Linked DNA regions of Neurospora crassa OR74A. The protein of the gene in region 2 interacts with the protein of the main gene of each other region in a pairwise test. Links are inferred from orthologs where the notes say so. Each region holds a gene or a part of one and is shown on either strand. Other genes may lie near its edges.

Region 1 (4,383 bases), on a different chromosome or scaffold from region 2:
ATATCCATTTGTCGAGTCATATGCTTGCTGTCTATCATTTGTCAGCTGCGTGTGCTCAGGTTGTTTGTTACCGGAAAAGGCTTCAGCCTTGTTGGGTCATATGGCCATTTGGTCATAGGTATGCAAGGCCGATGTGTCCCGGCAGGAATCACTTATTGCAGTGAGAACTACCTAGACGAGCAGCTGTGGACTCTCAACAGTCCATGCCCGTGGATTCCAGACATTACAGCCATGCGTATCACGACATTGGAGCACCTCATAAATACTTTCAAGATACTTGAGACATACGAATAACGGGAGGAAACACACTCGGACCAGGCACTAACGAAGACAACGAAAAAAGGCAGAAGGTTTGATAAGAATGAATTACAAATAAACGGTTTTCTTTCGAGAGTTTGCAAACCCAGTATCGATCAGAATCCCCACCATGACATAACATCCATAGCAAGTACAGTTCTCTCGCGGATAAACGACTCCCAAAATGTGTAAAGTGAAAAAAGGTAGCAGAAAGAAGTATTTGATCACAAAATCCGCGGATCGTGAAACACGGACAGAAACGTGCCAACAAAACCCCCAGACAGACCAGACCAGACCAGATAGAACCAGGATTATACCAAACCAAAACCAACCAACCCCTTCGCCGAACCAACCAGACCGAACCCAGCCTTCCCTTCTTCCCTCGGCGACCTCTTCCAGACGCTGATAGAGAAACCGACCACGCCTCACGAACGCCAAGGAGCGGATTGTAGCAGCGGCGGTGTGATATTAAAAACCCAGCGGCCGGTTGGTAACTGAAAGCAACTTTTTCAAGTCGCTCAGCTCATCCGCATAAGTGCCACTGCAACAAATGCCCACAAAATGCAAAGAATGTGTGTGCCCGGTCCCGGTTCCTAACCCCCTTCTCGCCTGAATTTCTCCAAACGCGGATATTCCTTCCGCTGGTCCCGTGGTCCTGAGCCCGACTGGTCACCGTACGTGAGCTAAGGTATGGGCGTGGCCGTCCGATATGGCTTTTGTGTTTCGGTTGTTTGCACATCCATGTCGTCTATAAAGTCCGGATTTTGTGTGCGTGTGTGCGTGTGTGTGTGTGTGTGTGTGTGTGTGTGTGTGTGTGTGTGTGTGTGTGATCGTCCATCTCTTCATTGCAAACGTGTCCCAATTCTTTTAACTCCCCGCTTGCTCTTCCCCTGTTGGTTTCGATCATTCACATCATTATGCACTTGGCGCAGCAGCCTGCTTGGACGTCCTCGTCACCGACGTCCATCTGCTTAACTGCCCCATTGTTGTTGGCGAATGAGGTGCCGCCGACCTTCTCGCCGAGCTTCTTGTCCTCTTTCCTGATTTCGCGGACGAGATCGTAGAAAGCGTTCTCAACGTTGTGTTGTGTCTTGGCGGAAGTCTCGATGTACTTGGTACCGAACTCGGCGGCAAGAGCTTGTCCCTCTGTTGTCAAGTGTTGTCAGCGTACTGTCCTGGCCCTCGCAAGGATGAAGAAGTGAAAACCTACCCTGTTCCGAAACAACGCGCTCTCCCCTCAAATCGTACTTGTTTCCGACGATGATCATGGGGAACGAGTCCCTGTCCTTGACCCTAAGAATCTGTTGCTGGTAGATTCTGATTTCCTCAAAGCTTTCCCTCGAGTTGATGGCGAAAACGAGCAGGAAGCCTTCACCAGTGCGCATGTACTGCTCGCGCATGGCGGAGTACTCTTCTTGGCCGGCGGTATCTAGAATGTCGAGAAGGGCGACCTCATTGTCGATGGTGCATTGCTTGCGGTACGAATCTATTGAGCTCAAGTTAGTCCACGGTTCACTAGGCCACAACCACGACCAAGAAAATTGGAACGTGGATTGAGAGGGTCCAGGTTGTAACGCACCCTCGATTGTAGGATCATATTCGTCAAGGAAGTGACCCTGGATTAGCTGGATGGTAAGGCACGATTTACCGACACCACCGCCACCGACAACCACCAGCTTGTATTCTCTTGTGAACTGCGTAAAGGGGAAGAGAGCGATGTCAGCCAAATGAATTGCCGCAGGCAATTGAAACCAAGAGTACGCCTCAATCGAGGAGGGCGAAATAATGCTGGCTGGCGGAGCGACTTACCTTGTTGGCCATTGTGGCTATTGATTAAAGAAGATGTAAAATGTAAAAGGATGGAAAAAGTCGAGATGCCGACACGAGGGGGCAAGATTGAATGGCCTCCTCAAATGATTAAATGGTTTAAGTCGCTCGCGCAACGGTGCAGACAAACGTCACTGGGTGGTGAAGACAGCCCTCAGGGGGGATCCTGGATGCGAAGGCGGGTAGAATTAAAGGTCGAAGGATGGGATGGCGACGATGGCTGTAGAAGGAGGAAGCGAGGTTCCTTGGAAGAAAGCGTGTTGTCAGGGGAAGCGCGCAGTCTTGACGACGGAGAAGCGAGCGAGCGAGCAGAAGCGGAAGTGGAAGTGGAAGTGGAAGTGGAAGTTGAGGTGAGCCGGACGGCAAGTGGTGGGAAGTTGTTCGGGTGGTGGTTGCGGTGAATTGAGCGGCGGGTGCGCAGAGTGCAGTGCAGCAGAGTGCAGCAGCCGGTGTGGAGACGAGCAAGCAGGAACGACGAGGAAACGAGCCACTACTGGCCGATGATCAGTGCTGCCCAGGGATCCCGTCCGTCTCTGTCTTAGGGGAGGGAGGCTACAAGCTAGTGGTACATACCTGCTAGGTAGAGGGAGGGGCGCTAGTAGATTTGCAGAAGCTGCGGTAGGGAGAAAGCGGAAGTCGGCCGACTGGTAGGTAGGTAGGTAGGTAGGTAGGTAGAAGTTGTACAGTATGGATGGAAGGAGGGTTCTTGGTTCGTTGGATATCGGGCGATTAGAGCTAAGAAAATTCTGTCGACAGAAAGAAAATGGTGGTTGCTGGCTGGCAAGGGACAGGAAACGCGGCGATGAAGAACCACAAACGGTGCTTTTCTCTCCAGTTTGTGACGTGGGAAAAATAAGAAAAGGGTCGAGGTTGGACAGCAGTCGCGAAGAAGGAAAGAAGATGGAAACGCCAGATGGGAAATGGCGTGAGCTACGGAATATTGCCTGCTCAAAGAAGTGTGGGTTTGCTGGCCGCGAAATGGAGAGCTGCAGGCAAAAGGACTCTTCCTGGTCTTGTTCTCACACTGTCCGTCTTGGTGAACTGAGTGAGGTTGCAAGGGAAATAGGTGCTGTAGCTTCAAGGGGTAGCCAAGACCCGGCGATGCACGGGCGCCCAAGTGGTGGTGGACGTGCCCCAAAAAGGAGATGGTCGCTCATGGTTCGAGCTCGTTTCTGGGGCAGGCAGGGCTATGGCCCGATTGATTGGCCGACGGAGCTTTAGTTCAAGTTCAGTTCTCTTCTCGCAGCGCCCAACCGGGAGGGTTCAGGAAAGGCAGTTCAACATCCACACTGTATATCACAGAAGTGGAAGTCCGTCACGACGGACGGGGGCCGGGGCCTTTATCGCTCGCCTTTGTTGAATGTCCACTTTCTCTATCGATCATTTGGGAGGACGGAGGCAAGGCGGTCACGGGCAAAACTGTATTGTCTGATGGTTGGAATAGATCATGGCGTCGAGATGCGATTTCCGTCTGCTTCACTCATGTGTGATGACTGTACGCACCGAACATCAGTATCTCACCATCCGACCAATGCCCGGCGCAAACCTCGACGATAGCAGGGCAGGTAATCATCCAGATCCTGCTTGGGCGCCGACACCGTCTCTCCGTCTAGACATTTCCGTCCTAGTCGTCCCACGAGCCCCAGTTCTCGATGGGCCATTGCAAATTACCCCTACGACGCTGGACGTGGACTCGACTCGCCAGTAGCCGACCGCTTCTGCTTGCGGTTCCCGAGCCTCTTCATCCACGTCCCTGGGACCGTTTTGTCTCACTCTCTTGCTATCTCCATTCCTCCTTTTCTTATTTCCTTGGGACAAGGCATCCACTCCCCGTGTTTCGACATAAGGCAACAGCAGCACACATACCGTAACCAGCACGGCGGTTCAGCCTTGAGCCCTAAGTAGCCTTTCGGTCCAAGGGATCTGGACTTGCGTTGGAAGGAAGATCACCAATCTCGAATCATGATGACCAACCAGAACATATGCACAGCTCTTCCCCAAAGACGGCACAACCCCCACTCTGTCTTCTCACCTCAGCCAACGACTATGGTATATACCGAGTTAGGCGGCACAGCATGCAAGTCAGCTTCTAGGTACGGCACGTCCCTGCCACGAACTGGCACGACCTAGCTCCTGGGCACATTGCTCAAGAGCCTCACCACCACCATGTCAAAGGATCGCAAAATCGTGACATTGAAAAGGTACCCGATCATTGTGTGCTGGTCCTCGGTACTGTGTCTTCTGCTGTCGAAGCAAGAT
Region 2 (4,469 bases):
CGTTTCCCACCTACTGAATAGCGGCAAATTGATGACCCTGTTCTCCTTTCGCGGCACCTGAGGTGGAGCAGTACCCAACTCTGACATGATGATGGCCAGATGGGAGTTCTCGTCCTTGTACAGCTCACCAGCGTGCTTTTCGAGCAATCCGTGCATAGCGTAGATTTCGTTGAGCGTAATGTCCAGCTGCAAATCCTTCTTGGAAAGGGCGACGTAGTTGTCCATCTCAAGTGTCTCGTAGAAATCTTGCACCTCGCACAGTTCGAGCATAAATCGGTTGACCTTGTCCTTGTTGGCATGGATAAAAGGCTGTAGCTTGGCCATGTACGGTTCCTTGGCGTATGAGGGCTTATTGGCCAGGTTCTGGAGCATTTTTGCGACGTAGGTGAGCGTCTTTCTCGGCTTGTCGGCAGGTGTGCCGTCGATGAGCATATACGACTTGGGTGTGACGATTGCTGGGTTGATGAAGCGCAGGAAGAAGAAACTGCCAATGAGCGTGCAAATGATCTGATCATTGGCATCGGGGTATTTCCTCTTTGTCAAGCTCCGAATTTGCTTGCAAATCCACCGGATTCCGTAAGGGGTTTCTTCGAGCCCATCGATGATGGTTTCCAAGAATCCATTGGCAATCTCTGTCAACATGGTCAGCCGCGGATTGATGATCTCCTGAACCTTGGGGTTCTCAGCGGCCTCTTCCTGCGTAATCCCCTTGGGGAGCATCGCCTCGGGACTCTCAGGGTCTTTCGCTTCGGCCTCTTCAATCATGCGCTCATAGACCTTGAGCGGGTTAATTTCGAGGTCCAGATCCTTGAGCTCAATCAGGCTGTTGATCCTATCAGCCAAAACCGATTTCAAAAAGCTCTGGCCTGGACCTCTCCTCGTGTATGTCGTCATCATTCTCGAGACCGGGGTGTTGGCGCGAAGAAGCGAAGAGTATTCAGGCGTATTGTCGAATTGGTAGGTGAGGACAGACTACGGCATGGTTAGCGAATTTCCTAGGTAGCAACACAAAGGAGGATCACAAGCTAACCTGAAACATGGTCAAGAGCAGATGCTCTTCGCGACTCTCGTATTGATTTCCGTAGATGGTGAACATGACCGTCTGAAGCAGTGAATCAATCTCGGCCATGGTGACAAGCCTACACAGATGCGCAATGTGCCTGGGCTCCGATTGTAGCAGGAAGAGCAGGTTTCCGTATTTTTGTGTCTTGTCATCGTTGGGGAAGGCGCCCTCTTGTATATCGGTTGCGTCTTCGAGGTGACTGGCGACTTCGTTTTGCTGTATTGCAGGTCAGTATATCGTTTACAGAAAGAAGTTGCTGAGGTAGGCCTACCTCTTCCAAAGCCATGCGATTTTGGATCAGCAGGGCAATACGCGAGTCCAAGTAGCGGACATCTTTCTCAAGTACGAAATTCTTTTTGGATTGCGAGGAGATCTTGGTCTTGAGATCCCGCAGCACCTTTTGCGCTGTGGCCAGGGAATTAGTATGCGTCTTCGACCGAGTAGGTGCACATGGACTGCTAACCTCTAGCAAGCTCATCTTCGATTATGAGATCGGAGTCATTGGCGGACATGGACATGTACAAGGCCGACATGGAATACCGCTTGGACTGGCGGGTAGACCGCGAGCCCTCGTAGGAAGACATGGTGTTTTGTCGGGAGAGAGGGTGGAAGGAAGTGGTGGATCCGGTAGAAGCTCGAGAAGGTGTCTGCAACATAACAGACATTCTGGCAAATGTGGCGGGTGACGATGAGGTGTCGAGAGGGTCAGACGCGTGGCCCGAATGAAAAGGATTGCAAAGAGTGTTGCTCTATTCTGTACTGAGGATTGATGGGTCGCGCGACTGAGGTCGGCTCGACGTTGAGCGTGGTCCCGCTGGGACACGCTGATGGAGATTAGGGTGCCAAGAGATTGCGAAAGGAGCGACGGTCGACGTCCACAAAGGTCGCACGAAGACGGTTTCGGCAGGGAGCGAAAGCAATGGTCGTCCAGCGAGCGCCACAATATTATCCTTTCGGGAGTAACGTCGATGTAGCCGACGCAGTGGATGGAGGCAAGCGAATGTCGTGACGGATCAAAGTCAACAAAGTTCGAGAGCAATTGGGGCCTCACAGTCGCAGGGTAGCGGGGAAAAGCGAGAGGCGGTCGACTTGTAGCTGGACGCGGTCCGTCCGTCGTAATTGCAAGATGCGTCTCGAGCAGAATGAGGCAACGGAAGCGGGCGTCGAGGTGATTGTTGTTGCTGTAATGTGAACAAAGAAAGAGACTGATCGGACGGTTCGAAACGCTGGGTGTCGTTGGCGTCTATAGGTGCTAGACAGATGTTAGGGGCCTGCGTCGTTTCGTGGTGGTAGGCCGATGGATTTCACTTGGTGCAATGCGAGGAATGGACGGGTTCGGTTGGAGGGACCGTTCGTTGGTCGGGTTCCTTTTTCGAATTGCGGGAGGGCCCCAGCGCAAAACTTCCGGTTGGGCCTCTCTCTCTTTTGGGGGGGGGGGGGGGCGAGACCTGGCTGCCCTGGGCTGCTTTGACGTGCACTGCGCGCTGGGGGATGCAGCACGACGGAATGCACAAGAATGCAGTAGGAAATTTGGCAGATTTGGGGACAAATGTGCAAGGCGACGGATGGTGAGATTGTGGTCAAGCCGCGCTCGACTCGAGTTTGGCTAGAGGTAAAAAGAGAGACCGCCTCGATCGGTCTGAGGAGACCAAGAGAGGTTGAGTTGTGAGTGGAAGGTGAAACTGTGGAGAGGGAAAAGAGGGGGAAGAAACGCGTGGGTGGGAACTTTGCTTGAAGCGAAAAATCGCAGTTGCAGTGGTTGCAGTGTTGCCGTGCCCTGGTGGTGGGTGCAGTGCTCGATACGACAAGATACGGTATAGTCTTGTGGAGTCTAGCCGGCCAGGGACCTGGCGATAGTATTTTGGGTTTGTAGGTAGGGGGCGCCTGCGTCCGTAGAGGTAGTGTACCTAGCTGTGGAGGTAAATTACCGCGTCATTACGCAGTGGAGGCTAAGCCAGAGAGGGATGGATGTAGAGATAAAACCGCAGCTAAATCCGTCAAGATAACCTCAAGTCAGGTACTTCCTTCAGTTTCAAAGGAGCGTGGTTGAGCTGGTACGAAACAAAAGGAGATGATGTCTTGTGTCTCGAGCTGAGTGCCGAACCAAGCACGCTAAAAAGATCCAATACCCAAAGAGAATCGGCGGTCCGTCTCAGAGTCAAAACAGCTCGAATGAACAAGTGCAATTGTCGATAACAAGAGGCATGGATTGTAGTCCATGGTGGAGCAGGGGACCGGAAAAGGAAAGGTTCCAACAGCGAGAAGTGGAAGGGTTCAGACTTCAAAAGGGTTCGGAGGGACAGGGTCGCCGTCTGGGCTAGGTATCGCCCACCACCTCCAGGTCGACATTACACTCCAAGGGGTTCATCCACCATGTATTCCGATATTGCACCTCCATGTCCCTGAAACAATGAGAAGGAGACGGGAAGCAGGGCAGGTGACGGGGATGTCTGTTGCAGATTCGCCTTTACCGGCCTCGAAATCAGGAACCAGAAACACTTGGCTCACAGGCATGGACCCCCGTGCACAGTTCCATCGCCACCTACTGGACGCCGACTCGAAATGTATAAAGGAGCGTGTTAACATGCGCAACGGGGCATTGATGGACGGCGCCGTTGGGTGATTTCACGCGACGAGCGAATTGGCGGCCACCTGCACCCACCACCACCACAGGACCAACAACAAAGATAGGAGGAGGAGGAGGCTGTCGCATTCGACAAAGCAACCTCAAAATCAACATTCTCACAAAAGAAGAAATCGCTTTGGTGCTTCCATGGGGTCCCCCATCCATTGCAGGGAGGGGCAACCTACTTTCAGGCCATGTGAGAAACCGACGTCGCAGCTGGGGGGGTGTGCTGCCCCTGGGGATGGCCTCGAAGGGGGAGACATGCCGTCGATTGGTCAGGTACATCGGATAACGCGAGAGAGTGGGGCCGTTGATTGGGACGGCCGAACACCCACAGACCGGACCTTCACACCAACTTCTCCAATGGACCTGCATCCCGCCAGGGCAATGAAAGTGCCCACTGCCCGCCCACGGCCCTTTTCGCAGCCAGATCCATCCATCCTGTGCAGTGCTGAATTATGCTTCCGAAAGGAGACGGAGACGGTGGACAGACCCAAGCCAGCCAGCTCAGGTAATAAGACCATCACTAGCATTTCCTTGTTTTGATGTCCGCCAGATCGACATCATTCTCCATCACGACCCGAATCTCATTCCGTTTATCCGAAGTACATGTCTAACACATTTTGCACAACACACCTTGCTGTTTCTGATACTCAGATACTCAGCACCTCTCTGTCTGAGGAAAGGAGCCACAATCTGATCCAAATTGGCATACACATCGGTATACGCAGTACACGGGCAGGTCTCCCACGAATGTTGTGCATCTCCGTCGTTGGAGAC

What was found.
Region 1: the proteins of NCU06122 (region 2) and bd interact in a two-hybrid assay, tested with the Schizosaccharomyces pombe proteins (2 studies listed by BioGRID, with this or other methods). The link is inferred for Neurospora crassa OR74A from reciprocal best matches to the Schizosaccharomyces pombe genes gap1 and ras1.

What each region holds. Positions count from the first base shown.
Region 1 is NC_026504.1:5,116,800-5,121,182, forward strand, and holds bd (Ras-like protein), read right to left. Parts: upstream 2,881-4,383; 5' UTR 2,772-2,880; coding exon of another isoform or gene 2,738-2,771; 5' UTR 2,698-2,737; intron 2,615-2,697; 5' UTR 2,475-2,614; coding exon of another isoform or gene 2,341-2,474; 5' UTR 2,119-2,340; coding exon 2,107-2,118; intron 1,992-2,106; coding exon 1,877-1,991; intron 1,784-1,876; coding exon 1,508-1,783; intron 1,444-1,507; coding exon 1,205-1,443; 3' UTR 249-1,204; downstream 1-248. Other genes in the region: NCU08822 (hypothetical protein), read left to right, coding at 2,341-2,474, 2,738-2,771, 2,881-3,345. UniProt on the Schizosaccharomyces pombe protein: Participates in the process of sexual differentiation and the determination of cell shape. Essential for mating and for recognition of the mating pheromone, but not for vegetative growth. Does not regulate the intracellular cAMP level.
Region 2 is NC_026507.1:1,732,692-1,737,160, forward strand, and holds the start of NCU06122 (GTPase activating protein Sar1), read right to left. Parts: upstream 2,809-4,469; 5' UTR 1,729-2,808; coding exon 1,527-1,728; intron 1,469-1,526; coding exon 1,335-1,468; intron 1,280-1,334; coding exon 1,031-1,279; intron 973-1,030; coding exon 1-972.